4 linked regions of the Mus musculus genome follow. The protein of the gene in region 1 purifies or fractionates together with the protein of each later gene. This does not show direct contact. Links are inferred from orthologs where the notes say so. Each region holds a gene or a part of one and is shown in the gene's direction. Other genes may lie near its edges.

Evidence for each region.
Region 2: the proteins of Tsen2 (region 1) and Tsen15 purify together in Homo sapiens (affinity purification with mass spectrometry; 4 studies listed by BioGRID and IntAct, counting the BioPlex papers as one, with this or other methods). This does not show direct contact. The link is inferred for Mus musculus from reciprocal best matches to the Homo sapiens genes TSEN2 and TSEN15.
Region 3: the proteins of Tsen2 (region 1) and Tsen34 purify together in Homo sapiens (affinity purification with mass spectrometry; 3 studies listed by BioGRID and IntAct, counting the BioPlex papers as one, with this or other methods). This does not show direct contact. The link is inferred for Mus musculus from reciprocal best matches to the Homo sapiens genes TSEN2 and TSEN34.
Region 4: the proteins of Tsen2 (region 1) and Clp1 purify together in Homo sapiens (affinity purification with mass spectrometry; 3 studies listed by BioGRID and IntAct, counting the BioPlex papers as one, with this or other methods). This does not show direct contact. The link is inferred for Mus musculus from reciprocal best matches to the Homo sapiens genes TSEN2 and CLP1.

The regions. Positions count from the first base shown.
Region 1 is NC_000072.6:115,555,600-115,562,925, forward strand, and holds part of Tsen2 (tRNA-splicing endonuclease subunit Sen2), read left to right. Parts: intron 1-3,993; coding exon 3,994-4,501; intron 4,502-5,780; coding exon 5,781-5,858; intron 5,859-7,326.
Region 2 is NC_000067.6:152,367,874-152,374,923, reverse strand, and holds the end of Tsen15 (tRNA-splicing endonuclease subunit Sen15), read left to right. Parts: intron 1-3,028; coding exon 3,029-3,170; intron 3,171-3,640; coding exon 3,641-3,661; 3' UTR 3,662-4,189; downstream 4,190-7,050. UniProt on the Homo sapiens protein: Non-catalytic subunit of the tRNA-splicing endonuclease complex, a complex responsible for identification and cleavage of the splice sites in pre-tRNA. It cleaves pre-tRNA at the 5' and 3' splice sites to release the intron.
Region 3 is NC_000073.6:3,697,867-3,704,155, forward strand, and holds the end of Tsen34 (tRNA-splicing endonuclease subunit Sen34), read left to right. Parts: exon of another isoform or gene 1-62; intron 63-2,661; coding exon 2,662-2,849; 3' UTR 2,850-3,169; downstream 3,170-6,289. UniProt on the Homo sapiens protein: Constitutes one of the two catalytic subunit of the tRNA-splicing endonuclease complex, a complex responsible for identification and cleavage of the splice sites in pre-tRNA. It cleaves pre-tRNA at the 5'- and 3'-splice sites to release the intron.
Region 4 is NC_000068.7:84,722,701-84,730,609, reverse strand, and holds Clp1 (polyribonucleotide 5'-hydroxyl-kinase Clp1), read left to right. Parts: upstream 1-3,322; 5' UTR 3,323-3,447; intron 3,448-4,453; 5' UTR 4,454-4,475; coding exon 4,476-5,081; intron 5,082-6,392; coding exon 6,393-7,064; 3' UTR 7,065-7,488; downstream 7,489-7,909. UniProt on the Homo sapiens protein: Polynucleotide kinase that can phosphorylate the 5'-hydroxyl groups of double-stranded RNA (dsRNA), single-stranded RNA (ssRNA), double-stranded DNA (dsDNA) and double-stranded DNA:RNA hybrids. dsRNA is phosphorylated more efficiently than dsDNA, and the RNA component of a DNA:RNA hybrid is phosphorylated more efficiently than the DNA component.

The DNA.
Region 1 (7,326 bases):
AGGACATTTCCTGCAAATCTCAGCTTCTGGTAGTGCCTGCAGCCCTCGGTGTTCTTGGCCAGTCCCTGACGTATACCAGTGAGGATGACCTCATCTTAAATTGAAACAATACACTACTGGAGTAGCTTTCCCATGAGTAAGTGGGTTCATCTCCAGAGTGAGAGGAATCCACACATGAGAACAATAAAGCAGCTATTTATGCCAGTGATGCTGGCTATGTTGTGCAAGAGACGCTGTGCACGTGACAGCCTTCTCTCTTGTCTCCTAAGTCCTTACCCCATACCCATGAAGACTTCCTGTCTTCTTGATATCCATGTTCTGCAAGTAAGGAACTGAACCATGGAAGTTAAGTTCTTCACTTGAAGTTAGAATGGGCCTTCAGGGGCTGGCTCCAGGATGACCCAGATACTAAATGGACATGGGCCCATCAGATAGAAGAAGGGATCTGGGAGAGGCATGTACAGGGCCTGGGAGCCTGAGAGGTGTACATTTGCTTCCAGTCCTACCTGCTGCCTCTTCCCTCTGCCTTTCCCCTTTGCTCTCTGGCACCGGCTCTTCGCTTCAACACTCTTCCAGGACTTGACTTTTTAAGGAGTTTCCAGGCAGCAGGAGGCCACCACTCTGGGCCCCACACACTACAGTCTTAGGCTATTTGCCATCTACCTCTTATATTTCCAATTACTTGGGATTTCTCCCTCACAGTCGCATGGCCACTCTTGTTGAAGTATTAGGTCATCTGAGAGATGATGAGGCAGGAGGGCAGTGGCTGTGACATGTGACAGAAGAGTGGAGGGGCAGAGGTGCCAGTGGCTCAGCCCAGACTCAGAAGAGTCAGGTCCAGAGCCATGTGTAGTTTTTAATGCAATGTGTACTGAGACAATGGAGTTGTGTTTTACACTATCCCAGAGGGCCTCACAGTAAGAGAGCAGACGAGTAACTTCCTGGGCACATCTGTGCTTCACACTTCACACACCTCCTCTTCGTCCATCCTCTCCACATGAGGTGGCACATGTTAGGTGAGACTCTGAGTCTGAGAAGTGATGGTCACACAGCAAGTATGACATTGTGTGTAGCAGGGATCTGAGTTCACCGTCTGTCCTGCCCAGGGCACTTGTGTGCTTGCCCTGGATCAGCACAAAGGAGGCGGGTGGCTGAATCTTCAATTAAGTGGCTCTTTCAATTTGTTTTTGCTTTTAGGGTTTTTACTAGGCTTTTTGTTTGTTTGTTTGTTTGTTTGTTTGTTTTGTGTTGTTGTTGGTGGTGGTGGTGGTTTTTTGTTTTTGTTTTGCTATACTTTTACTTTTTTTGTTTTTTGTATGCCAGAGATCTTACCATATAGCTGTCCTAAAACATGCAATCATCCTGCCTTTATCCCTGTAGGTTCGAGAAGAACATACTTGCACCACTGTGGCTAAGTCACATTTTCAAGTCAGGGATTCTGATGTATCTTATAGATCCCTTCTTCTACAGTAAGGTACATCGACACAAGAGGTTCAAATAGCAGATGTCCAGAGGATGGAGAAGTGGCTATTAGCTCTCACTGATCTTGCAGAGGACCCAGGACCAGTTCCCAGCACCCACACAGTGACTCACAACAACCTGCATCAGGGGAGTCCAGCTCCCTCTTTCAGCCTCCAAGAGCACCACGTGCATATGCTGCACATACAACAAACCCACACACATAGTCAGAAAAAAATCAAATGAACAGGTTCAAAGAGCCACAAAACCTCTAGAGTCTATGCTGCAGTTGCTAGCACAAGAAAACTTTCTAGCTCTTTCTGGCTTTTCAACTGTGTGTACTGGTTGCCAGGCCACCATGTTCCTTGATGATAAGAAGCTGTATGTAACAAGATCTCTGTGAGCCAGGAGGACTAGCATTCCCAATTTTGTGGGAGATGAAATGGAAGCAGAAGCTACACAGTGGTGAATGACAAAGTCGGACTAAACCCCAGACATGTGCAATACCAGATTAACCACACCTTTTATACTACAGGTTTCAGAGCAGCCTTGCCGTGTTTCAGTCCTTTAGTGTGGGAGGGGGCACTTTTTGAGACAGGGTTTCTCTGTGTCACCCTGGCTGTCCTGGAACTCACTCTGTAGACCAGGCTGGCCTTGAACTCAGAGATCCGCCTGCCTCTGCTTCCAGAGTGTTGGGATCAAAGGCGTGCGCCACCACCTCCCAGCTATGTTTCAGTCTTTGAAACATAGTCCCAGCTACAGATTCAGCCAGGCCTCGTAGCACAGGCCTATAATACCAGCTACTCAAGAAACTGAAGCAAAAGAATTGGCAAGTTCAAGTCTTGGCTGGATAAATGAGACCCTATCTCAAAAAAGAAAAAAAAAAAAAAAAAAAAAAGAGCAGGGTAAGGCACAGTGGACAGTAGTAGGGCCCTTGCTCTTGCTTGCTGAATGGTAATATATGAATGAGTCAGCGATTCGGTTCCCAGTATACAGGGATGTGTGTTCATCTGTGTATAGGAAAACCAATGTGAACAGCTTGGAATTCCAATAAGCCAAAGTGAAGCAGACAACAGCTTTCTAGGTACAAAGGACAGTTTGCCTGCTGGACAGTGTGTGCACCCTGATATATATCTGGGTATCGAGCACACAGGTGAAATAAGAAGAGGAATGAAATGACTTGTATCTTCAGTTGTATCTTCAGGATGGGCAGAACCACTGGTGTTTGCCACTAAGATCAGCCTTCTGCTGATCTTTGGTTGGTAACATGTTCTTATGTCACAGGGACATATCCCAGCAATCCTGACACGGCCCTGTTGTCCTCACCATAGCCTTTGTACCTTGGCAAATGCTCAACTCTTTGAGGATAGAAATTTAATGTGTTACTACACTCTGAGGATTATTATAGGGAACTATTTTCAAATGTTTGGACATATATGTGTGTGTGGTGGTAATCTTGGGTGTCAGTTGAAGATTGGTCTACACAGCCATTCTTCTCAACTGCTAACTGATGAAGGAAATCCCTAGAGCACTGTGGATGGTACCATCTCTAGGCAGGTGGTTCTGGGCTGTATAAGAAAGCTAACTGATGCCGGGGCATAGTGGCGCACGCCTTTAATCCCAGCACTTGGGAGGCAGAGGCAGGCAGATTTCTGAGTTATAGGCCAGCCTGGTCTACAGAGTGAGTTCCAGGACAACCAGGGCTACACAGAGAAAACCTGTCTCGAAAAAAACCAAAACAAGAAAGAAAGAAAGAAAGAAAGAAAGAAAGAAAGAAAGAAAGAAAGAAAGAAAGAAAGGAAAAGAAAGCAAGCAAGAAAGAAAGCAAGAAAGAAAGCAAGCAAGCTAACTGATTGTGAGCTAGAGAGTGAGCTAGAAGCAAAGTTCCTCCAAGGTCTTTGCTTGTGTTCCTGCCTCTGGGTCCTGTCTGGAGCGCCTGCCCTGGCTTCCCTTCATGGTGCCTGTAAGCTCTAAGGTGAACTAGACCCTTTCCCCACCAGTTGCTTTTGGTCAGAGTGTTTCATCACAACAGATGATTTGCCTTACAAGTTGTTGAACAGTGTATAAGGCAAATCAATTCTTCCCATATCAGTGATGTTCCTGGGTACTGTGAAAAGTATCTATTGAAATTCACTTTCCAGTGCTAAAGAAAGGGTCTTATATCATGACTGGAGTATCTGTCAGAAACAGTGTGATAACCAAGATTAAAAATAAGACAAAATGGACCCCAGTAAAAGGCAGCATTTTTCTCTGCCTTATTTACCAGCATCTCTTGGTTTTAAATAGCATAGATTGTCACACTTTGTTAAAGGGAGGTTAACTTTGTCAAAATAAGCAAATAATGTTAAAGGGTCGATGATGCTTGCTTGTCGCTGGACAGTTAGATGCAGGGGAATGAGGGCGGCAAGCTCGGCCTGCAGTCCACCCTTGAGAAGAACTCGGCATATTGGTGGGCCACCTTGAAGGCTTTCTGGGTTACTTTGTTGTCACGGGGTTGAGACTTGAGTGTGTTATTGACGTTGTTTCTGTTGGCAGGTATCAGCATCGGGTGGAATGGGCCAGGGACTTCCTGCGTAGGCAGGGCCACGATGAGAGCACTGTGCAGAAGATCCTTACAGACTACACAGAGCCACTGGAGCTTCCTTGCAGAGAGGAGAAAGAAGAGACCCCACAGCACGAGCCACTGAGCTCCAAGGCCGACTCCTCCCTGGAAGGCAGAGTGGAAAAGGATGAACTCCCCGTGACCCCTGGAGGTGCTGGACAGTCAGATGACCTACCCGGTCTCGGCACACACTCAGACTGCCTGCAGGAGGGGCCTGGCCATGCCACACTCGCTGCGGCTAGTCCATCTAGCCATAATGGGCATGTGGCAGAGGACCCCGAGGTTCTCCCCCAGGAAACCCTCGTTCCACAGGGTGGCCTTTGGCCTGAAGCCAGCAGCCAGGCCGCAGGAGAGAAAAGGGCTGCTCACGAGTATGTGCTCATAGAGGAAGAGCTGTGTGGTGCCCAGGAGGAGGAGGCGGCGGCGGCATCAGACGAGAAGGTACATAGATCAAAGTGCCCTGCTCCCCACATCTGGGCTTCAGTTACAGTCAGCGACAGTCTGAGAGCATTGCTGTTGGTTGTGGCTTTTAAAAGAGAGCCCACATTCCTTATTGCTCTCATTGCAGTGTTAGGACCCCTCTCCTGTACTCGTCACTGCTGCTAATCTCTCACTAGTGCAGACTTTACCATGACTGGGTGTGGATAGGAAAACTGTACCCCTGGGGTCAGTGCCACCCACAGTCGCAGGCATCTTCTGGGACTCTTGGGCATGTCCCCTGGAGATAAGAAGACTGTCAGTCACATCTCCTGCTGGCCAGTGAGAGGTGTCAGCCCTCCCAGATGTCCTTCACTTGCCCCTGGGCAGGCCTGTTGTCCACACTGGGCCTGTGTGGTGTTTCTGAGGCCAGCGCTGAAGCACAGCCCCAGTTGCACAGCAGTTGTAAGGCCTGTTTCCGCTAAGATTCAACCTTTTTTTTTTTTAAATAAATAAGTTAAAGCAAGACCAGTGGGGGCGGGGGGAAAAAAAAAGCAAGACCAGTAATTCTCTGTACATTGTATGGGAGAGGAAAAAACTCATGATAAGTGCCTGATCTCAGGCATGACTGAAGTTTTGACACCTTAGTTCAGGCACACAGCTTGTAAGTGAAAAACACTAAGTTCAACGGTGGAGTTGTCCCATCTGCAGAGAAAATCCACAAGATGGTGTTAGCAGCAGAAGAACAAGAGCATCCATTCCATGTAGGGTTTCTTAAGTATTTATTTGTTTTATGTATATGAGCACACTGTCACTATCTTATGTCACACCAGAAGAGGGCATCAGACCCCATTACAAATGGTTGTGAGCCACCATATGGTTAATGGTTGTGAGCCACCATGTGGCTGCTGGGAATTGAACTCAGGAACTCTGGAAGAACAATCAGTGCTCTTAACCACTGAGCCATCTCTCCAGCACCCACATAGGTTATTTAAAAAAAAAAAAAAAATTTTAACAGATTTTATCTAACGGCGTGAAAAACCCAGTAGAATAACCTGACAATATTCTGAAACCTTGATGAGAAAAGAAAGTCTCAAGTTGGGTGTGGCAGTACATACCAAATCCCACCACAGCTGAGGCAGCCTGGACTACCCTGGCCTATGTAGCCCATTGAGTTTATCAAGAAAATGCTCATTTGGGAATTAAGTCTCATGATAGGAGTGTCTCAGGTGGCTGATTTATTCGTAGTCTCATTCATTTTCTCTCTCTCTCTCTCTCTCTCTCTCTCTCTCTCTCTCTCTAGTTGCTGAAAAGGAAGAAACTTGTGTGCAGAAGAAATCCATACAGGATCTTTGAGTATCTGCAGCTCAGCCTAGAAGAGGTATGTGTGCATCTTGCTCTCAGCCCTGGGTAAGTCCAACCCTGTGCACTGTGCACCTGACCCCACCTTGCAGACAGTTCTGTATAGAATGCTAAATGGTGTCATCACCTACTAGGATGTTCATCCTCACTCAGCCTGTTTCACCATTTGAGAGTGTGTTGGAGCTCACTAAAATGGTGTTTGAGAGCTCTGGGTTCAAATCCTCATCGAGGAAACAAAAGGAATTTTGAGCATTTAAGAGGTTTATCTGAGCCCTTCTCCCCTCTTCCTCCTCCCCTTCTTCTTTCTCTTTCTCTTCCTCCTTTTCTTCCTCCTCCTCTTGCTCCTCTTCTTCCTCCTCCTCTTCCTTTTCCTTCTTTTCTTCCAAGAGAGGTTCTTATTACTGGGATACCAGGCTAGCCTGAATTTCACAGCCCCTGCCTCAGGTGTGCTTGGATTTGGTGTGTACTACCACAACCAAACTGAGTCCTTTTCTCAGCAAGGTTTCAAAATATTGTCAAGTTTTCTGCTGTTTGTGTTTGTTTGTTTGTTTGTTTGTTTGTTTGTTTGTTTGTTTTGAGGCAGGGTATCTCAGGGTAGCTCTGGCTACCCAAAAACTCACTATATAGACAGCTGGCCACAAATGTACTGAGAGCCTCCTGACAGCATCCTGGGTGCTGGGATTCAAGGTGTGCAGCACCATGCTCAGCTAATTTTTGTCAGCTTTTTTTAAAAAATTATCTTTATTAAGATGTAATTAGCACACCAGTTCATTCATTTGAAGTGTGTAACTCAGGCTGTGTTGAAGGTCATTGGCAGATTACCTGCCTGATATTCACAAAGTTCTGAGTCAATCCCCAGTACTGCGAAACAATAAAAAAGTTAATAGAAAAATACACAGTCCACCTTGTGTGGCCACACGTAGCTGTGAACACTACCGGGAGACTGAAGAAAAGTGATCATTTGAGCCCAGCAATTCAAAGCCAGCTAGAACAGCACAGCCAGACTCTTTCCAGGATACAAAGAAGGAAGCAAGGAAGGAAGGAAGGAAGGAAGGAAGGAAGGAAGGAAGGAAGGAAGGAAAAAACTCAAGTTTTTTTTAAATTGCAGAGCCTACTGTTTTTTCATGTGCTGTGTGACTCTGATCACGCCCTGACTGCAGAGGGAGGGAGTATGTTCCAGGCATTTCCTCTGCAGAATCAGTTAGCATGTTCCACTCACTGCATGACTGCGTTCTAAGTAAACTCTACAAACGTTGTGGGTCTTTCAAAACCCTGTCTCAAAAAAAAACAAAAACAAAAACCAAGGGGACTGGAGAAGTGGCTAAGTGGTTAAGAGCACTGACTGCTCGTCCAGAGGTCCTGAGTTCAATTTCCAGCAACCACATGGTGGCTCACAACCATCTGTAAGGGGATCTGATGCCCTCTTCTGGTGTGTCCAGACAGCTACAGTGTACTCCTATATAATTAATACATACATACATACATAC
Region 2 (7,050 bases), on another chromosome or scaffold:
CCAAATGGTGTTGAGTTTGTCTTTGGTTATACTAAGTTATTAAAAATCAGTGCCCTATTTTCAGCATACAGAGGTCACCTGTGAAGAATTATCAAAAGGAGAACTCTGCCAGCAGCATCAAATTTTGCTATTGATAATCAACAGCTATGATTATTATCAACATACCCTTTTCTTTAGTTGAGACTTTCTCCGTGAAATTTCACTAAGTAGAAAAGAAACCCTTGTTCAGATGTAGAGTTCTCTCGTTTCTAAGTAAGATTTCACATTTATTGAAAATTCAATGTTATCCTTCAGTGTGTCTTACCAGTCATGTTATTTTTAAAGTAGAACCTCAGAACATCTGATGTTATCCATATTTTTTAATAATTAAGCAATGACCTGCTGGCTTAAGTATTTTTATGAGCTTATACAGTGTACTTTAAAGGGAACAAAGAATAAAGTCTGACTACGGAGATGATGGCTCTATATTAAACACATGTTCATAGTAGACTAGACATGATTTTGAAGAGGAAACTTTGTAAAACTGCCCAGCTGTGGTCAGGCAGTAGCTAGGCACCGTTCTGTCCTCTATCCCTGTGAAGACACACTGGTAGTTTTCCCACTCACTGCACCAAGTGGGATAAACAGGAGCTCGGAGATGGGAACTTCCATTTAAGTTGGCAGTAATTTCCCTTAGCTCTGAGAACAAAACCTCTTTTACAACTCTGGAGTTAAATCTCTAATCTAAGAATGTTTTGGTGTTGAGGATTCCGAAAACAAGTATGAGCCGAGACTGAAAGGACAACAGTCAATGCAGTGGACGTTTCCATCCTCACTGGCAGTGTGAGATGTGCGTGCCTCGCCCAGGTCACCACCTCACCTTAGGAGATGTGCACATGTGCACACACAGAAGCACACACACGAACACACACACAAACACACAGAGGCATGCATGGACATACAGAAGCACACACACATAGACACATACAGGTGTACACATGCACAAATACTCACCTACCTTTAATTTAAAAAATAATAATGTTTAAAAAAGAGAAATTGAATACAGTTGTCTTAACAAGATCTTTCTTTCTGTCCTTTCTCTCTTCTCTCTCTTTTCTCTCTCCTCTCTTTCTCTCTTCTCTCTCTCTCTTCTCTCTCTCTCTTCTCTCTTTCTCTTCTTTCTCTCTCTCTTCTTTCTCTCTTTTCTTTCTTCCTTCCTTCTTCCCTTCCTTCTTTCCTTCCCTTCCCCCTTCCCTTCCCCCTTCCCTTCCCTCTTCCCTTCCCACTTCCTCCTCCTTCCCCCTTTCCTCCTCTTCCCCTTCCGCCTCCTTCCTCCCCCTTCCTTCTCCTCCCCCCTTCTCCTCCTCCCTTTCTCCCCCATCCCCCTTCCTCCCCCTTCCTCCTCCTCCCCCTCCCCCCTTCCTCCCCCTCCCCCCTTCCTCCCCTTCCTCCTCCTTCCTCCCCCTTCCTCCTCCTTCCTCCCTCTTCCTCCTTCCCTTCCCTCCCTTCCTTTCCTTTTCTTTTTTGTCTCTGTCCTGATCTCACCATAGTTTGCCAGTTAAGCATATGTCTTAGTCAGGGTTTCTATTCCTGCACAAACATCATGACCAAGAAGCAAGTTGGGGGGGGAAAGGGTTTATTCAGCTTACATTTCCACATTGCTGTTCATCACTGAAAGAAGTCAGGACTGGAACTCAAGCAGGTCAGGAAGCAGGAGCTGATGCAGAGGCCATGGAGGGATGTTATTTACTGGCTTCCTTCCCCTGGCTTGCTCAGCCTGCTCTCTTATAGAACCAAGACTACAAGCCCAGAGATGATCCCACCCACAAGGACCTTTCCCCCTTGATCACTAATTGAGAAAATGCCTTACAGTTGGATCTTATGGAGGCATTTTCTCAACTGAAGCTCCTTTGTCTGTGATAACTCCAGCTGTGTCAAGTTGACACAAAACTAGCCAGTACAGCATACTTAGAGAAATTTACTTTCAGCGTGTCCATTACAGGGTTTATGGGCATTGACTAGGCTCTGTGTATGTTGTATACTGAGGAAGAAGCAGTGCGAGCGGCTAAGAGCAGTGTTGCTCTTGCAGAAGCCTCTGGTTTTATGCCCGGCACCTATATGGCAGCTGGCTGGTAACTGCAGTTCCAGAGGCTCCAACACCCTCTTCTGTGGGCGCCGCACACACGTGAGAGATAGATATGTATAGGCAAAACACTCACATACAGAAATAATTTTTAACGAGCAATATTTGACAATTTAAACAAATAAGGGGAGAATGGAATTAACTTTTGAGTGAGGAAATGATGCCAGAGAATAGTGTGAATAAAGGAATATCAGAAGTCTTGAGAATGTTAACATAAAAGACTCTAATGTGGCTTCCTCTGATTGACTTGGGACAGACAAACCAAAAACAGGCCTTACAACAACAGGAGCACCGCTGGGCCAGTGGGTAACCAATGGGGAGTTACATAGTCAAGGCAGTGGTTATAAACCCCATGGAAAAGCAAGAGGCGCGTTTGTTACAGTCAGTTCATTACTTTTCAGATATTTTGAGTTAGGGTCTCACTGTGTAAGCCCTGGCTGACCAGGAACTCTGTAAACTAGTCTTCTCTCTAATTTCCTGTGACTCTCCTGCCTCAGTCTCCCAGGCTGGGAGTACAGGTGTCTTCCATCACAACAGCCCTCTAATCTGTTTAAAATAATAGACCCAAGTGTCACTTTGTTTCAGTAAGTAACCAAGTTGGAAAACAGGAAAATTAACATCTATGGTCCTCAGCCAATTAGATACACAGAACACTGTAGTTGTAGTTGTTGTTGTTTTATAGGTTTCAGACTCAGCTAACCCGGAGAGAGTGAAAAGGCAGTATGTAGGCCTTTCTTAGGGTGTCTGTGTGAGAGGACAGCTTCAGATGTTCCCATTTGAGCCTACAGACATGGCCTTAGCATTTTGGATGCCATGTCCTACCTTTCCCTCAAGAACTTATACTGTTTGGTCTTACTGTTAATTGAGTAACCATGAGTCTCAAACAAACTTTGTCTTCATTTTCAGGATAAGGGAAATCTTGAAGGCGTCTAGAAAGTTGCAAGGCGATCCAGAACTGCCGATGTCTTTTACTTTGGCCATAGTGGAGTCAGATTCCACAATAGTCTATTATAAACTTACCGATGGATTTATGCTGCCAGACCCTCAGGTCAGTTTTGAAGTGATTCACAGGAAACAGTAATGGGAGAGAGAGGCGTGGCCTGACCCCAAGTGTGGATCAGGCTTCTACTTCTTTTGCCATGTGAGAAATTCAAGGCAAAAAAGGCTTGGTTTTTATTCCTCAGATAAGAAAAGGCCGCTTTTTCCTAGCTGTTTTTTGAAGAAATAATTTAATTTTCCTGTTCTGTGAAGAATATCCCATTTTTCCAGAGCATTTTGTGCAGTCATGCATCTAAGTAGCTGGAGTGAAATGCAAAGGCCAGTAACGGCTGTAGTCAGTTGCTTACTGAGAAAACCCTGAGTTAACGTTCTGTCCCTAACATTTTAGTACATGTCTGGTATTTGCTTGCTCAGCATTTGTCCACCTAAGTGTGATAGTTACATTAAATATCTTTATAATTTTAGTCTTGCATGTGCTGTCTATTAGTTGCACTCTGACCTTCTTCCTCTGTGTTGCAGAATATTTCTCTTAGAAGATGACATCTGCCCTTCTTGGTGCTGACTTCAGTTCTGAAAGATTGGATGTGAGGCTCCTCAGCGAGCTGCTCGTCTTTTATCTCAGAGGTAGTCAGGGCTGACTTAGCTAGTCCCAACCCATAAACTTCCTTTCAGAATAAAGCCTTCTCCGATGGAAGCACTATATTGCTTGCAAATATAGTTAGCCTAGAACTTTCTTATCAGAGACAGTACAGTTGCATGCGGGTTTACACCAAGGATACGTGCAGAGTTGTGGAGCCTGGCAGTGCCTCTGCCATCCCACGTAGTCGATAGACAGGTATCAGTGAGTGGTACGGAGAAAACGCTACAGCAAGAAAACGGACACAAGAGCATTAACGTGGTCATGGGTGTGAATGACACGCCAGGCTATGAAAGTGACAATCAGATTACTGATAGTGGTCTCAGTAGGATGGCAGGCAGCAAGTGGATGCCTTTGTCCTTCTCCACATTTCATTTGTCATTTGTATTACTTTTATAATAAAACGGTTTAAAATAAAAAATATCTTGAAATCTGTCGTAATCATCCATCATTGCATGCTAAAGGTAGCAGTGTAGCCAGCCTTATAACAGCACTTTTATGATCTGGGCTGCTGTCTCACTGAGGTGCCACTGAGATGCGCTTCCTCTCTCAGCCTGTTGTTGCCTGTGGCAGCTTCCTGTGTCTGTGATGCACTCCGCCTCTCAGGGTTTGGTAGAGGCCGCATTCTGTGCCTTGTCAAATGGGCTATCCCAGCACAACTGGTTGCTTTCTCAAAGCCAAGAGAGTCAGCAGGTTGGACCTACTGTCTCATGTCACAGGTCTCCCGTCTCTTTTGCCTTGTTCCTCAATTAGAAGTAAGTCACAGTTTCCACCTACACCAGATCTCATGGCTCATTAGGAAGTAGTAGTGAAAGGAATGGGAAAAAACAAAAAAACAAAACAAAACAACAACAAAAAAAACCTAACCAGACAAAAGCTGGAAGTAGTATGCGGAGTGTAACAGGCTTTTCTTGGTCTGTACTTGACCTGCGCTTTCTTGACCATGCCCGAGACCCACTTTTTCTTGATGAAAGACTTTCACAACTTCAGATTCCCTTTGCTGCCCCAGAAGGCTTGAAGAACGTGTTTCTGCCACTCCAGTGTGGCAGTTCCAGATCCAAGAGTCATAAGGTATAACTTCTAACCTTAATTCCTACTGGGTCGTATTGGACTGCATGTAAGGAATTCTTTCGTTTTGGTGCTGGAGAAAGCAATCTACATTTCATACAGAAACGTGTAGCTTAAAAAGGTCAGAAACAGCCGGGTGTGGTGGCGCACGCCTTTAATCCCAGCACTCGGAAGGCAGAAAGAAAGCAGGTGGATTTCTGAGTTCGAGGCCAGCCTGGTCTACAGAGTGAGTTCCAGGACAGTCAGGGCTACACAGAGAAACCCTGTCTTGAAAAACCAAAACCAAAACCAAAACAAAACAACATAAAAAGGTGAGATCACTGAGTCAGAGCTAGGTAACAAGACCAAAATGGCCTTTTAGGTCTAAGGCCGGCACTCAGTTTCATTGTGCAGTTTGGATTGTTGATTTCAGAATGCTCTGTGGCTTAAAGCTGTTCTGCCAGAGCCAGCTAGATGCCTGCTAATGTGAGCAATGCCCCGACAGTCTGAAGGGAGGAAAGGGAAGCATCTCATCTCAGTGAAACAACTCGGTGAAGTGGCCTGTTTAACTTTGTAACTGAGTTTACCTAAGACCTTTCCATTAGATAGCAAGAGTCCTGAAGAACAGAACGGGAAACCATGTTCTTTTAAAAACACACCAAAGCATGCTGTATGTAGACTTGGGTCTTAGGACAGTGCCTTGCTTTTTGCCTGGAGTCCACATGGACAGCAGAGGGTGCTGTAGACTAAGCGCATCTCCAGACTGCAGGCTCCAATTAGCTTGTGGTTTTTCTTGAGAAGAGTTCTCGAATTGTTTCAATCTGTGGGAAGTGGTATAAATAAAAGTACAAATAAGGGTGCCCACACCCCCTCTTTCTGACAGACCTTTAAAATTACACACTACCGGCATTAAATATGGGAGTTGAGTCAGGCTTTGCTTAAAATGTAAATCTATATTTAAAAGCAAAAGCCTGTTGGGGGAAGGGGTGAATAGGAGAGACTTTTTTCCCCCCTCAATCCATATGCATTTCATTTTTGCTTGCAAAAGCCTGATTTATTCAGTGAGATTCAGGATTAGTTAACTAGCACACAGTGCCTAAGCTCAACGTGAATCGCTGCTGTATTCCATTTAAGCTTGCTTCCTTCTTTCCAGTTGGAAGGAGAGGAAAAGACTGTGGGATTTCTCTCTGCCTGCTCTCCCCCGAGTTCCTGGTTGTTGTGCCCTCTGCTGGGAAGGCTCAGGGCAGCGTGAAGTCACCCAGGTCCAATAGCTCCTGACTGATTTCTTTTGTTCTCCTGCCTGGATGGCTTTAGAAGACTCTCTCCACACCTTAGGACTGCTGTAGAGAACATGGGCGCAGAGACACTTGTGAATTCAAAGATTCCAGCAGAGGAGCAAGCGTGTAACAGCGTTCTCATGTAATCTGTATTCGTTGACTGGACCATCTTTACAGTTTTATAAGCCTAGAACCAAACAACTTAAAGCTTTACTCGAGGTCTCATCTCTTGTTCAGAGAGCATTTCTGTGCTGAATTCCTCTGTGAGGTCACTTTTTCCATTGCTATCCCAGCAGGAAGCCACTTTCCTACTGCTGTGCGGTGCTTCTTGCCAAGGCATACAGAGCTCCTGTCAGGAGAGGGTTATCTGGCAGCTATATGTTTACCTTAATCCCTTACAGAATAATGCGCTGTCCTCTGGGCCGCTAATCATTCGCTTCATCTTCTTTCTGGCCAGTAACTGCTGTTTCTCACCACTGGCCTCTTCTGCAGTGTGACCTGCTTAATGGCCTTTGAATAACAACTCTGTGTGCTCACAAATGGCCAAAGGTGGGAAGGTCATCTGTCAGTGGGGTTATTATAATGTCCAGCTGTATTGTTTGATGACTCCGAGAAACTTTCCCTCAATAAAATCAATATCTAAAGACTGACATTTGTTTTAGGGCTACTGAGTAGAGACAAGATTTTGTTAAAATTTGTCCATTTATTAATGTACCAGATATTCATGTCTTAATCACTACACTACTGTAGGTCAGGTAGCTTAGAAGTAGAAGTTTATTTTCTCATAGTTGTAGGATCTAGAGGTTTCTGATCAAGACTTCTGATCAGCTGACTTGGCTCAAGGCTCTTTTTCTTCCAGCTCTGTCTCTCATGGCCTTCCCTTGCTTTCTACAGAGACAAAATGCCCTGGAATTTCTCCTTCTTCTTACAATGGCACAGCCTGGTTACTGGGGCCCTCATAACCTCAT
Region 3 (6,289 bases), on another chromosome or scaffold:
TGAGGTGATTAAAATGCATAAGCATTCATGCCCGGCACTGATATGTCAATATTTCTAAAACAGTGAGTACTTGTTTATGGGACATGGAGAGAATCCTTGCTTCTTTGAAATAGTGTCTAAAGCCTCATCACTCTAATGCTTCTAAGTTTATTTCTAAATTTTGCCTGAGGCTCAAAGCTGCTAAGTGTCTAGGAAAGCAGTTACAGGTTTAGTTTCTCAAGCATTTTGATATACCCTCTCTGCTGGCTGGAACCCTGTAACAGCCACAGAGCCTCATTACTGCCTAGGCTCTGCCAAGAACCCAGCTGCCAGGCAGGGACATAGCAACAGTTTCCCTTAGAGGGTTGCAGTCTCATGGTTTAGATTCTCATTCCGCCCCTCTTAAAGATTTGGATTTCATTTCTGTTTTCTTTTTATGTTTTGTGTATGTACATGTCTGTGTATGTACATGTCTGTGTATGTACATGTCTGTGTATGTACATGTCTGTGTATGTACATGTCTGTGTATGTACATGTCTGTGTAGATGTCTAAGGAGACTTGTAGATGGCATTGGATTTCCTGGACCTGGAGTTACAGGCACTTGTGAGCCGTCTGATGTATGTGTTGGGAACTTAGCACTCGGGTCCCTCTGGAAGAATGGCTTGAGTTCTTAATCGTTTGGCCGTCTCTCCAGTTCTATATTTTAAATTTCCATTTCCTGTGATTTACCCTCTTGTATAGTCGTACTCAGATTCCTATCACGCTAGTTCAGATTCACCAGGGATACACTGTCAGCTGTTCAGTAACTAAAGTCATTATTCCTGCCTCTGCCTACACAACACATATGGCTGCTGTGCTCTGCTGGCAGAGCCAAGTCTGTGCAATGAGGCCCACAAAATTAACCGTGTTCACTATCTGAATCTTTTGGGGTGACATTCTTTTAACTATTTTTATTTTATCATTATCATGTATTTGATTTTTTTAAGACAGTTGTTTCTCTGTGTAACAGCCCTAGCTGTTCTGAAACTTTCTCTATAGACCAGGTTGATTTTTAACACACAGAGATCTGCCTGCCTCTGCCTCCCCAGTGCTGCGATTAAAGGCATTTGCCACCATGATGTGCTTTGATTTTTGCACTATCCTAGTATAAAATCTTTTCTTTTTCTAGCCTATTAGAGTCTCAGACTGATCCCGTTTTTTGTTTTATGACTGCAATACTGGGGATCAGACCTTGCTTGTGCTACATAAGTGGTCTATTAGAGCTGCATCCTAGTACTTGTGCCTTTTTAAAAAATCTTGGCTTTGTTTCTTTTGTTTGTTTTTCATATTTTATTTTATTTTATTTTTTGGTAAAATCTCTTTATGGTGCCCAGGTTGGTCTTAAACTCCTAAGCTCAAGGAGTATCGTGTTCTGCCCCCACGGCCCAAGTCTCCTCAGTGCTTGAGGGTACAAGTGCATCTCCCCACATCTTTTAATCATGGTAGTTGTGTATTGTTTAGTCTCATAGATAGATATGTCTTGTACCATGGAAGGAACCATTCTGTGCTTTCTATTCTGTTTCTTAGCCATTGTGAAGCCATCTTGGGTCATCAAAACCAGCCTGGGACACATGAAATCTCTGTCTCAAAAGAGGAAAAAGAGAAGCCAGGCGTGGTGGCGCTCGCCTTTAATCCCAGCACTCGGGAGGCAGAGGCAGGCAGATTTCTGAGTTTGAGGCCAGCCTGGTCTACAGAGTGAGTTCCAGGACAGCCAGGGCTACACAGAGAAACCCTGTCTCGAAAAACCAAAAAAGAAAAAAGGAAAAAGAGAAGATAGAGGATCCTTAGGCATAGACTAGCTGTTCCAGGTGTAATGGTATACACCTTTATTCCTAGCACTCAGGAAACATAGACAGGAGGGAGATCTCTGTAGGTTTGAGGCCAGTCTGGTCTACATTCCAGAACATTCATAGCTATATAGAGAGACCCTGTCTCAACAACAACAACAAAAAAGTAGTTGGAGCCGGGTGTGGTGGCGCACACCTTTAATCCCAGCACTTGGGAGGCAGAGGCAGGCAGATTTCTGAGTTCAAGGCCAGCCTGGTCTACAGAGTGAGTTCCAGGACAGCCAGCACTAGACAGAGAAACCCTGTCTCGAAAAACCAAAAACCAAACAAACAAAAAAGTAGTTGGGTCCAAGGATATGGGTTTCAAAATATTCAGTGTATGCTGAAAGCTGAAATGTCCATGTAGCCTATGATACACATAACTCAGGAGGCTGGAGAATGAGAATGCCAGGGTTGGGTCAGTATAACTACAGGGCAAATTCAAGACTAGCAAGGACAGCGTAGACCCTGTCTCCAAAAGTAAGAGAGTGCTACAGAGATGGCTCAATGGTTAAGAGCACCGGGTGCTCTTGCAGAGGACCAGTTAAGGGTTCCTGCACCCACAGGAACCTGCCAGGGCTGTTGGGAATTGAGAAACCCTGTCTCGAAATACAAACAAACAAAAAAAGTAAGTAAGTAAGTAAATAAATAAATAGAAAGGCAGTAGAATACTTATCTAATCTACACAAGGAAGGCCCTGGCTTCTATACCCAGCACTACAAAGGAAACAACAGTGCAGTAAGCCCAAGGCCCCCATGTCAGATCTCATCCCAGCCCCTGCGGAGGGGAACTGCTATGCATCTTTCTTTCCCCCAGGTGATCCACTGCGTTTCCATGCTCACTACATTGCTCAGTGCTGGTCTGCTGAGGACCCCATCCCACTTCAGGACCTGGTCTCTGCAGGCCGCCTGGGAACCAGTGTCAGGAAGACCCTGCTGCTCTGCTCCCCTCAGCCTGATGGGAAGGTGGTCTACACATCCCTGCAGTGGGCCAGCCTGCAGTGAGCTGGAGACTGTGTGTGGCAAGAACCCTCTTCAATGGTCACCCCAGCTCATCTCTGCACGGAGGCTTGCGCTCTCCTGCTCTGCCTGGTTTGTTCCGATTCCAGGGTTTTGAACACTACATCCTTTCTGTTTGTTTTTTGGTTTTGTTTTTCCTGTTTTAAGGCGATTACTACCTGTGTTGTTCTTTATTTTGTTTCCAAATTGTGCTTGTTGAGCATGGAGACTGCTTTTGTTTGGCTTTTGTGTTTCTTGCGGGGCTTAGGTTCCTGCAGTTCTAATAAATTTGTTGAATAAATGTTTGTATTTTGAGTCCTTACAACAATCCTTGAAATGTGGGGCTCTCATTCCTGTATTCAGATGAGAAAAGGGAATGGGAAATGACTTGACCAGGGTCACAAAACTGGGCCTGGGCCATTATACCTGGTCTTTGTGATTCAGGAATCTGCCTCTTTTCATTGCACTAAGGGTTGCCTTGAAGATATGGCGTTTATTTATTGTAAGTATACCTGTGTATGTATGTAAGCATGCGTGTGCCATGGAACTTAGGAGGAGGTCAGAGGACAATTTGAGAGAGCCTGTTCTCTTTTTACCTTGTGGGTCTCAGGGAACGAACTCAGGTTATCAGGCTTGCCATCAAGGATCTTTAAGGGCTGAGCCATCTTATTGGTTCCTTTGAGATTACTACAAACCATTTTAGATATGTGATGTAAAGGTTATAACTAGAACTGTTGCATGAGCTGCTTGTGGTGGTGTAAACCAGTCCAGAAAGATATGCGGAAGAGGCAAAGGCAGGAAGATCATGAGTGTGAGACCTGCCTGGGCTACATTTGTGGGGTTGTAGAGGCTCAGCAGTTGAGGTTTTCCAAAGGGGCTGAGTTCAGTTCCCAACACAGAGGACAGCTCCTATGTGTTTGCAACTCCATCTTCAGGGAATTTGGTGCCCTATTCTGCCCTCTAAACACAACTACACTCAGGTGTACATACTCACACAGACATATATGTAGTTTTTAAAAAAATTAACTTGGTGTGGTGGTTTATACCATTAATCCCAGTGTTCAGGTGAAGGCAGGGGAATTTCTGAGATCAAGGCTAGCCTGGTCTACATGGCAAGTTACAGGCCAGCAGGGCCTGTCTCAAATCAACAAATATGGGCTGGAGAGGTGGCTCGGTGTTCTTGCATAGGACCTGAGGGTTTTGTTTTTGTTTGTTTGTTTTTTTGATTTTTTTTTAAAAATCATTTTATGTATATGGGTACACTGTAGCTGAACAGATGGTTGTGAGCCTTCATGTGGTTGTTTGGAATTGAATTTTTAGGACCTCTGCTTGCTCTGGTCAACTCTGCTTGCTCCAGGCCAAAGATTTATTACTACACGGTAGCTGTCTTCAGACGAACCAGAAGACTGTGCCAGATCTCATTACTAGTGGTTGTGAGCCACCATGTGGTTGCTGTGATTTGAACTCAGGAAGAGTCAGTGCTCTTAACCACTGAGCCATCTTGCCAGCCCCAGTACCTGAGTTTTGTTCACAGCACAAACAGGGCTCACAACTCCAGTCTTTGGGTATCTAACCCCTTATGACCTTTGAAGGTCCTAGGTACACACATGGAGTATTTGTGTGGATATAGGCAGGAAAAATACTTGTACACATTAAATAAATCATTTTTAAAAATTAAAAAGCAGCCGGGCGTGGTGGTGCACGCCTTTAATCCCAGCACTCTGGAGGCAGAGGCAGGCGGATTTCTGAGTTCGAGGCCAGCCTGGTCTACAGAGTGAGTTCCAGGACAGCCAGGCCTATACAGAGAAACCCTGTCTCGGAAAAAACAAACAAACAAACAAACAAAAAACAACAAAAAAAAAATTTAGAAAGCAAATGTTTGACCCAGAAAGTAAGCTAATCTGTCTCCTTGTCTACCAATCTGTCCTCCCAGACTAAATGAACAAGATGCCTTTTGAGTATACAAATGCAAGTGCAAATTTTTTTTTTTTTCCAAGACAGGGTTTCTCTGTATAGCCCTGGAACTCACTCTGTAGACCAGGGTAGCCCTGAACTCAGAAATCCACCTGCCTCTGCCTCCCAAGTGCTGGGATTAAAGACTGCCCCGCGCAAGTGTAAATTCTTACCAATCACACTGTTTAAAATAAAAAATATCTGAGCTAGGCCTAGTGGTACAGGCCTATCCTCCTACTATTCAAGGACAGAGGCAAGGACATGTCTATGAGTTTGAGGCCAGCCTGGCTACATAGTTCATAGTTCCAGGATAGCCAGGACTCATAGACCCCATTTCCCTTAAATAAAAAATAGTTATAAAATATCAGATATACACAAAGCTGGCTGTGGTAGTGCATGTCTTTAATCCCAGTACTTGGGAGACAGAGCCAGGCAGAACTCTGTGAGTTTGAATAGGAAGCTCCAGGACAGCCAGGAATAAGAGGAAAGACCCTGTCTCAACAAACAAACATATCAGTTGCATGAAAGCGGATTGTAATTCCAGCATTTGGGAGGTATAGACAGAAGGATCTGGAATTCATAGTCATTTGATAGGAAACCCTGCATCAAAACAATAAATAGATTAGGAGAGACTTGCCTATAGGCCAAGATGATGGAGGCACTTTCTTAAATGAGTTCCTCTTTCCACATGTCTAGGTTTGTGTCAAGCTGTCAAGACAAACCAGCACAAGATGTGTATTTCAATATTAAAATAAGCCCAGCACGACATATTTATACTATTTTCATAATGTTTGTATTTTTTATTATTGTATTTTGTGGCTCACACCTAAAATCTTAGCACTTTTAAAAGAAGATTTATTTATCTATTATATCTAAATACACTGTAGGTGGTCAGATCTCATTACAGATGGTTGTGACCCACCATGGGGTTGCTGGGATTTTCAGGACCTTTGGAGGAGCAATCAGTGCTCTTAACCGCTGAGCCATCTCTCCAAACAAACCCGAGTACTTTTAAGGGCAAGGGCACTGCCATGAGATTGAGACAGTGGTGGGGAACCTTGGCTGCTGCCCTTAATTCCCTGTAAGTTTTTACCAAGAGTTTTTGTTGAAACAAAAAGTGACAACTGTGGTTACTCAATCAATGCTTTAGCCCTGGAAGGGGCAGCCTCGTTAATTCTTGGATTAACCAAATGTCACCATAGCCCTTTAATCGCCTAACCACCTCACTGGCAAGTCGGCCCAGCGAAGCGCCGCTCTAGCCGGCCTGCTCGTCTCTATGGCTTTCCTGCTTCTGATTGGCGTAGTCGCGAGCGGTGCGTGATGACGTCACTACAAGGCGACGTTACTATAAGACCTCGGTCCAACCGCCTTGTCTCTCTTTGTCTCGGGCCTGAGTTCGTAGGTGAGTGTTCTGATTGTTGAGTTCGCCTTTTAGGGGTTGATGGTGTAAGGTAACGGAGCCATTCGAATCTTCATGAACATGCTGAGTAAGA
Region 4 (7,909 bases), on another chromosome or scaffold:
CTTGCTAATGGAAGTCTAGAGCTAAAATTCTGAAGAATGAAAAAGGATCAGCCTATGCCGAATAGTTCGTTGAAAAGCTAATGCCTGCATGGTGAATGAATGGCGTAACTAAATCACATCTCCAAAGAAAACTGTGAGAGGTGACAACTACCTGCCTGAAAACTGAGTGCTAGGTAAGACCAGCAAGAGAAAGGTAGACCAGAAAGTTCCCCTGATCTCTCAGTTCAAATTCATCATGTGGGCAAGGATGAACAAAGTATTCACCTGCTTTAAAAACCAAACAAGGGTTGGAAAGATGGCTTAGCAATTGCAGCTCACAGTTATTGGTAACTCCAGTTCCAGGAAATCAGGCCTCTTCTGATCTAGAAGCGCATCAGGCATGCACACAATGCACACACATACTTGTGGACAAAACACTCTTCTACATAAAAATATGTGGGGCAGTTGTGGTTCACACCTTTAGGTCCAACATTCAAGAGGCAGAGGCAGAGAAGATGGATCTCTGAGTTCAAGGCCAGCCTGGTCTATGGAATGAGTTCCAGGAAAGCCAGGGCTACACAGAGAAACCCTTTCTTGAAAAACTGAAACAAACAAACAACCCCAAATCACAAACAAACAGTGTGGGTTGGGTGGAGTAGCTGAAGAGTTGGCTCATGGGTTAAGGGCACTTGTTGCTCTTGCAGAGGTCCTGGATTTGATTGCCACATGGCCTGCTCACAAACATCCAGTGCTCCATCATCTTCTGACTTCTGCAGGTGCCAAGTATGAGCGTGGTCCACATATATACACACAGGCAAAACACTCACACACATACATCTTAAAAAAGAAACCCAGAAAACCTGTAAAATGGAGGTTACAGTTATAACTACAACATAGGATTCTACCTGGGATTAAATGAATATATACCCATACAGCCATGGAACAACACCTAACAGCTAACACTGTGTAATTGTTTGCCCATTATTAGAAACTGATCCGGCCCCCTAAGCTCTTGGTTTAAATGTTTTAGTTATGATTCTCTCGTTGCTATAATCAAATGTTTGACAAAAAGCAACTGAAAGGAGGTTTTTATCTTGATGAATGGTTCGGGAGACAGAGTCAGTCAACACGGGGAAGACATGGCAGTGGCAATGGCATGCAGCTATGGTGGTGAAAACTTGCTTACGTCTGGCCAGATCAGGAAGTAGACAGAGAGGAATGTGGGTCCTTTTTTTGTTTTGTTTTGTTTTGTTTTGTTTTTCGAGACAGGGTTTCTCTGTGTAGCCCTGGCTATCCTGGAACTCACTCTGTAGACTAAGCTGGCCTCGAACTCAGAAATCCACCTGCTTCTGCCTCCCAAGTGCTGGGATTAAAGGCGTGCACCACCACCACCACCCGGCTGGAATGTAGGTCCTTAAGTGGCCTTTCCTTTTCCTCTTCTGATTCAGTCCAGGACCTCAGGCCATGAAATGGAGCTGTCCACATTCAAGGCAAATCTTCCTCTTCAGTTGCATTTTTCTGAAATCCTTTCACAGATACACCCAAAGTTGCACCACCCTTGGTGTCCAAGGACTGATTCAATTAAGTTGGCAAAAGAAATGAACCCTTGCCAGGCGTGGTGGCATACGCCTTTAATCCCAGCACTTGGGAGGCAGAGACAGGAGGATTTCTGAGTTCAAGGTCAGCCTGGTCTACAGAGTGAGTTCCAGGACAGCCAGGGCTACACAGAAACCCTGTCTCGAAAAACCAAAAAAAAAAAAGAAATGAACCATCAAAAAAAAAAAAAAAAAGAAAAAAAAAAAGAAAAAAAAAAAGATCTACCTTTAAGCCTTTAAATCCACCTTTAATGTTTTTAAATCCAGTACTCTGGGGGCAGAGGCAAGTGGATCTCTGTTTGAGGCCAGTCTGGTGTATGTAGTGAGTTCCAAGACAGCCAGAACAGTGAAGACACTGTCTTAAAACAGCAGCAGCAGTAGTAGCAACAAAAACAACAAAAGTCTACCTCTACTAATAACTGAGTTCTTGAGCAAATGTCACTGATTAGCCTAGTTTTCTCCTCAGATGAAATTGGAGATGTTATACCTACCTGGGTTTGTTGGGTATTTTTTTTTTTTTGTTTTTTTGTTTTTTTTTCGAGACAGGGTTTCTCTGTATAGCCCTGGTTGTCCTAGAACTCACTTTGTAGACCAGGCTGGCCTTGAACTCAGAAATCCGACTGCCTCTGCCTTCCAAGTGCTGGGATTAAAGGCGTGCGCCACCACTGCCCGGCTTGTTGGGTACAGTGACACAGACACCTGGAACTACTTTGAAAAATGTATAAACAGATATTATAGTCTCCCCAGTCTATAATAAAAACTTAAGGCTAACATCAGATACTTTCTATATTATAGGCATTGTGCTTAGCACATATGTCTCATCTAATCTTCAAAACAACTTTAGGAGGTTGAATACTGTTATTATTCCCATTTTATAGACAAGAGATGTCTCAGGGAAAGGGAGCCTGTCAGGCAGTAAAATAATATAAGTTTCCAAAGGCCATACTCATGAAGTGGATTATAGGCGTGGAACCAGTTAGCAGTGGTGTCAACGATTTTGAATAACTGTCAGATGTGCATAGAGAAACAGTTTAGAATCTGGCAGAAGTTGTTGGATAATGACTGATTCATAAGATAAACGAAAGAAATCATAGGACTTTTATTCTATATTTACTAAAGTAAAAAAATCAGCCTGGTTATTGGCTTAAGTCTGTAAATCCCAGAAGTCAGATCAGAGGCAGGAGAATCTCATGGAGTGCCAGGTTGGCACCTTGAGCATACAGAGGAGGTGGGGGTGGGGGCAGGGAGAGAGGGAGAATTACACTTTGTTTCTTCTATGTGCCAGTTCCGCATAGACTCAAATGGGTACTGCTTGACCTGATGTGTGTGTGTTCGCGTGCGCGTGCGCGTGTTTCTGCCACTTTCCAGCTGCCTGGGTCTCCGGCTTAGGCTAACTTCCCCACTTTTTGGCTTGTGGTCTAGTCGAGCAGAGCTCTGATCTAGACAGTGATGCAATGCCTCTCCCTTTCTGGTCGCCCTTAGCTTTCCTGGACAGCAGATAGGGAGAGACCCTATAACCACCTCCCTCCCGAGGGCGAACCAGCAACTTCTCCTCTCCGCCTCCGGTCGTCTTCCCACACAAAGTGACGGCGCTGCCCCGCCCACCTCCGCGGGTCACCGAACAATCCTTGAACTATATTTCCCAGAGGGCCAAGCGGCGACGCGCGCTCACTCACTCCAAACTACAGGTCCCAAGATGCATCACGCGATCGCGTCTTCTACTACTGCGCAATTGCGGAACCGCCTTTGCTTTCCGGCTAGTATTTAGGTGAACGTTATTCGTGGTTTGCTGAGGTCCGAGGTTTGCTGAGGTCGGAGGTTTCCAGAGGTCCCAGGTTTCTGTGAAGCTGGTTTTGAGTCCGTGCCCGTATAGGTAAGGCTTAAGGATCCCAATTACCTTTGAGAAGCCCCGGCAGATTTTGGTGTCGGAGCTAACTAGACCCAGAATTGTGGTTCAGAATTAGAAATAGTAATTTAAATTTCTTTGGTAGTTTGTTGTTTGTTTGTTGTTGTTATTTCGAGACAGGGTTTCTATGTGTAACCCTGGCTGTCCTGGAACTCAGAAATCCACCTGCCTCTGCCTCCGCCTTTCAAGTGCAAGGACTAAAAGGCGTGTGCCACCACTGCCCGGCAGTAGTTTCTAATTTACAATGTTTTGTTTTTCCAACTGTGGTCCTTGTTATTCCCGGCCCAGCACCGTTACAAGAGGACGTGTAAAAGCCCACCATATAGCAGCTGGGGAGTTGGTTCAGGTATTAAGTCGTTGGATTATAGTAAGTAACTACTAGTAGTCCCAGAGTTGGACATGCAACTGTTTTCTGAGTCTGCACCCAGTGTCCTGTTCTTTGCATACGATTCAGAGCTTGTTTCGTGTTGGCTAAGGGAGCTGGACAATGGGCATGTGTTACTTTGTTTTCCAATAGAGTGATGGAGGAAAGACTATGCAATTCAAATCTCCTGTTAGTTACATCGGTAGGTAGTTTTCTTTTTATGTCCTAGTCATTCACTCTTACTTTTTGTTGAGGTGTGTTACTATTCCACCTACCAGAGGCCCAGGAGCAAACAAAAATACCTTTACTGCTGGATAGTGGAGGCGCACGTGTTTAATCCCAGCACTTGGGAGGCAGAGGCAGGTGGATTTCTGAGTTCCAGGGCAGCCTGGTCTACAGAGCATTCCGGGACAGCTAGGGCTACACAGAGAAACAAACAAAACAAAACAAAACACCTTTAGCTTCTGGTTGTGGAGAGACTGGCTGTAAACAGTGAGTCTGGCAGCAATAAGAACTGCAGAAAAAGATAAAGGGACTAAACCAGTGGAAGATTTTTTTGAATAGTGGCCTGATGTGGTGATTTAATCAAATGTTTAATTTGGGTCCTAGGCACGTCAGCTTTACTGGAAAGATGAGCGAGGAATCCAATGATGACAAGAAGCCAACGACTAAGTTTGAACTAGAGCGAGAAACAGAGCTTCGATTTGAGGTGGAGGCCTCTCAATCGGTTCAGTTGGAGTTGTTGGCTGGCATGGCGGAGATCTTTGGCACAGAGCTGACCAGAAACAAGAAATTCACTTTTGATGCTGGTGCCAAGGTGGCTGTTTTCACTTGGCATGGCTGTTCTCTGCAGTTGAGTGGCCGGACTGAGGTGGCTTATGTCTCTAAGGACACCCCTATGTTGCTTTACCTCAACACTCATACAGCCTTGGAGCAGATGCGGAGGCAGGCAGAAAAGGAAGAAGAGAGAGGTCCCCGAGTGATGGTAGTAGGTCCTACTGATGTGGGCAAGTCCACTGTGTGTCGACTGCTACTCAACTACGCAGTGCGTTTGGGCCGCCGTCCTACTTACGTGGAGTTAGATGTAGGCCAGGGCTCTGTGTCCATCCCTGGTACCATGGGGGCCCTGTACATTGAGCGTCCAGCAGATGTGGAAGAAGGTTTCTCCATCCAGGCCCCTCTTGTGTATCATTTTGGCTCCACCACGCCTGGCACCAACATCAAGCTTTACAATAAGGTCAGAACTGGAATTTAAGAGGGGGTGGAGGGAAAAGTTACAATCAGGGTAGGAAGTAGGGAACTTTGTTACTTAGAACTGCAAAATTTTCCTTTTGAATATAATTGCCTTTCTTATTTTTATTTTTTGGTGTGGTATTACTGCCACCTGATTTCATAAGATCATTTTAACATAAGTCAGCTGTAGACTGCATAGCATCTTGTGGCATTATTCGTAGTAACTCATTATTAAGAGGTAAAACAGGAAGCAGGGGGCTTGGAGACATGGCTCAGCAGTTAAGAGTCTGGCATATGCTGGGCAGTGGTGGCTCACACCTTTAATTCCAGCACTTGGGAGGCAGAGGCAGGTGGATTTCTGAGATCGAGGCCAGCCTGGTCTATAGAGAGAGTTCTAGGACAGCCATGGCTACATGGAGAAATCCTGCCTTGAAAAACCAAAAAAAAAAAAAAAAAGGGGGGGGGTCTGGCATATACCTTTAATTTTAGCAGATTCAGAGGCAGTCCAGTCTCCATAGTGAATTCCAGGACATAGTAAGACCCTATTGCAAACAAAACAAAACCAAAATCAAAAACAGTACTACTCCTGTCAAGGGTCAGAGTTGACTTCCTAGCACCCATGTCATGCTATTCCCAGTTGCCTGTCACTCCAGTGCTAGGAGGATCTGATGCCTTAGGCCTCTGTGCACCTGCACTCATGTGCACAGGCAGACATACAGATACATAATAAAAAATAAAACACTGTAAAAAAGAAGCTTAAGTAACATAAAGTTAAATCCATGTTATGGGGTTAAAACCACAGTCATTAAAAACATCAATTTTGATGTTAATATATCAGTGGGTATTGTAGCTGATCCCTATAATCCTAGGACTTGGAAAGCTAAGATAGGACTTTCAGGAGTTTGAAGCTAGGCTAGAGCTTTGTACTAAAACCCTGTCTCAGAAAAGTAAAACTACTGGGGCACTAAGGTTAAAAATACTTTGGTGCTAAGGTTGCATGTAGCTCAATTGCCAAGCACATTTCAAGGATTGTGGTTGGGTTTCCAGCCTGTAAAGCTTTTGGATGATACCTATTACTCAAAGAGGAACTTAGATGGATTTAGGAGCTGGAGAGATGGCTCAGTGGTTAAGAGCTCCCCTACCAGAGGGCCTGAGTTCAAGTCTCAGCACCCACTGGTAGTTCATGACTAACTGTAACTCAAGCTCCAGGGGTATCCTACATCCTCACACATGAAAACAACAATGCACATGAAATAAAAATTAATACATCACTAAGAAAAATAGGTTTATTTTTGTTCTTTTGATTCTTTTCCAGATTACATCTCGCTTAGCAGATGTGTTCAACCAAAGGTGTGAAGTGAACAGAAGGGCTTCTGTGAGTGGCTGTGTCATCAACACCTGTGGCTGGGTCAAGGGCTATGGTTACCAAGCCCTGGTGCACGCAGCGTCGGCCTTTGAGGTGGATGTGGTTGTGGTTCTGGATCAAGAGCGACTGTACAACGAATTGAAAAGGGACCTGCCTCATTTTGTTCGAACTGTGTTGCTTCCAAAATCAGGGGGTGTGGTAGAACGTTCCAAGGACTTCCGGCGGGAATGTAGAGATGAACGTATCCGTGAGTATTTCTATGGATTTCGAGGCTGTTTCTATCCCCATGCCTTCAACGTCAAATTTTCTGATGTGAAAATCTACAAAGTTGGAGCACCCACCATTCCAGATTCCTGTTTACCTCTGGGTATGTCTCAGGAAGACAACCAGCTCAAGTTAGTGCCTGTCACCCCTGGTAGAGATATGGTGCACCATCTCCTGAGTGTGAGCACTGCTGAGGGCACAGAAGAGAACCTTTCTGAGACCAGTGTGGCTGGATTCATTGTTGTGACCAGTGTGGATGTGGAACACCAAGTGTTTACTGTCCTGTCTCCAGCCCCCCGCCCATTGCCTAAGAACTTTCTTCTCATCATGGATATCCGGTTCATGGATCTCAAGTAGTAATTGCAAGAAGCCTCACTTTCTGGGCCATAGAGTTCTGGTCATCACCAAAGGCAGATGGAATGGACTATAGCAATCTTATTAAGGCAGCTGACAAGGCCCAACTAGCAGAAAGCACATTTGCTACCTCTTGAAACTGGTAGTAGCCAGACTCCTGGCTATTATTTGGTTCATTTACTCTGAACCAAAAGGAGACAGCTCAAAAAGAAAATCTGAATATTTTTTTAAGATCACCTAAGGTACCATTTTAAAGATTCCAAGACCCTAGAAAATTCCACGTCTTCCACATGTGCTTCCATGTGGGTTTTCTTGTTACCACTTTCTTGTATCTCTGTATAGTATTTGCTATATCATTTAACCAGGATGAAAGTGAGAGAGTTCAAACTTGAAAACAATTATTTTAATAAATATGATTGTGATAGAAGTTGGTATGATTCTTTTTTTAATTTTACTTCTCACCACTAAGCATTATAGAAGCTATAGGAATGATTTATTGCTAAAGTGCTGGGAGGAAGGGAAAACTAAGAAATTACTTGTGGGGCTGGTGAGATGGCTCAGTGGGTAAGAGCACCTGACTGCTCTTCTGAAGGTCCAGAGTTCAAATCCCAGCAACCACATGGTGGCTCACAACCATCTGTAACGAGATCTGATGCCCTCTTCTGGTGTGTCTGAAGACAGCTACTCACATGTAATAAATAAATCTTGAAGAAAATAAAAAAAAAAAAGAATGGAGTGTGTCAAAAAAAAAAAATATTTGCTTATTAAAAAAAAAAAAAAAAAAAAGAAATTACTTGTGAGCCAATCACATTTTGTTCTTACTGGTAAACCTGTTTCTAGTTCCTAGG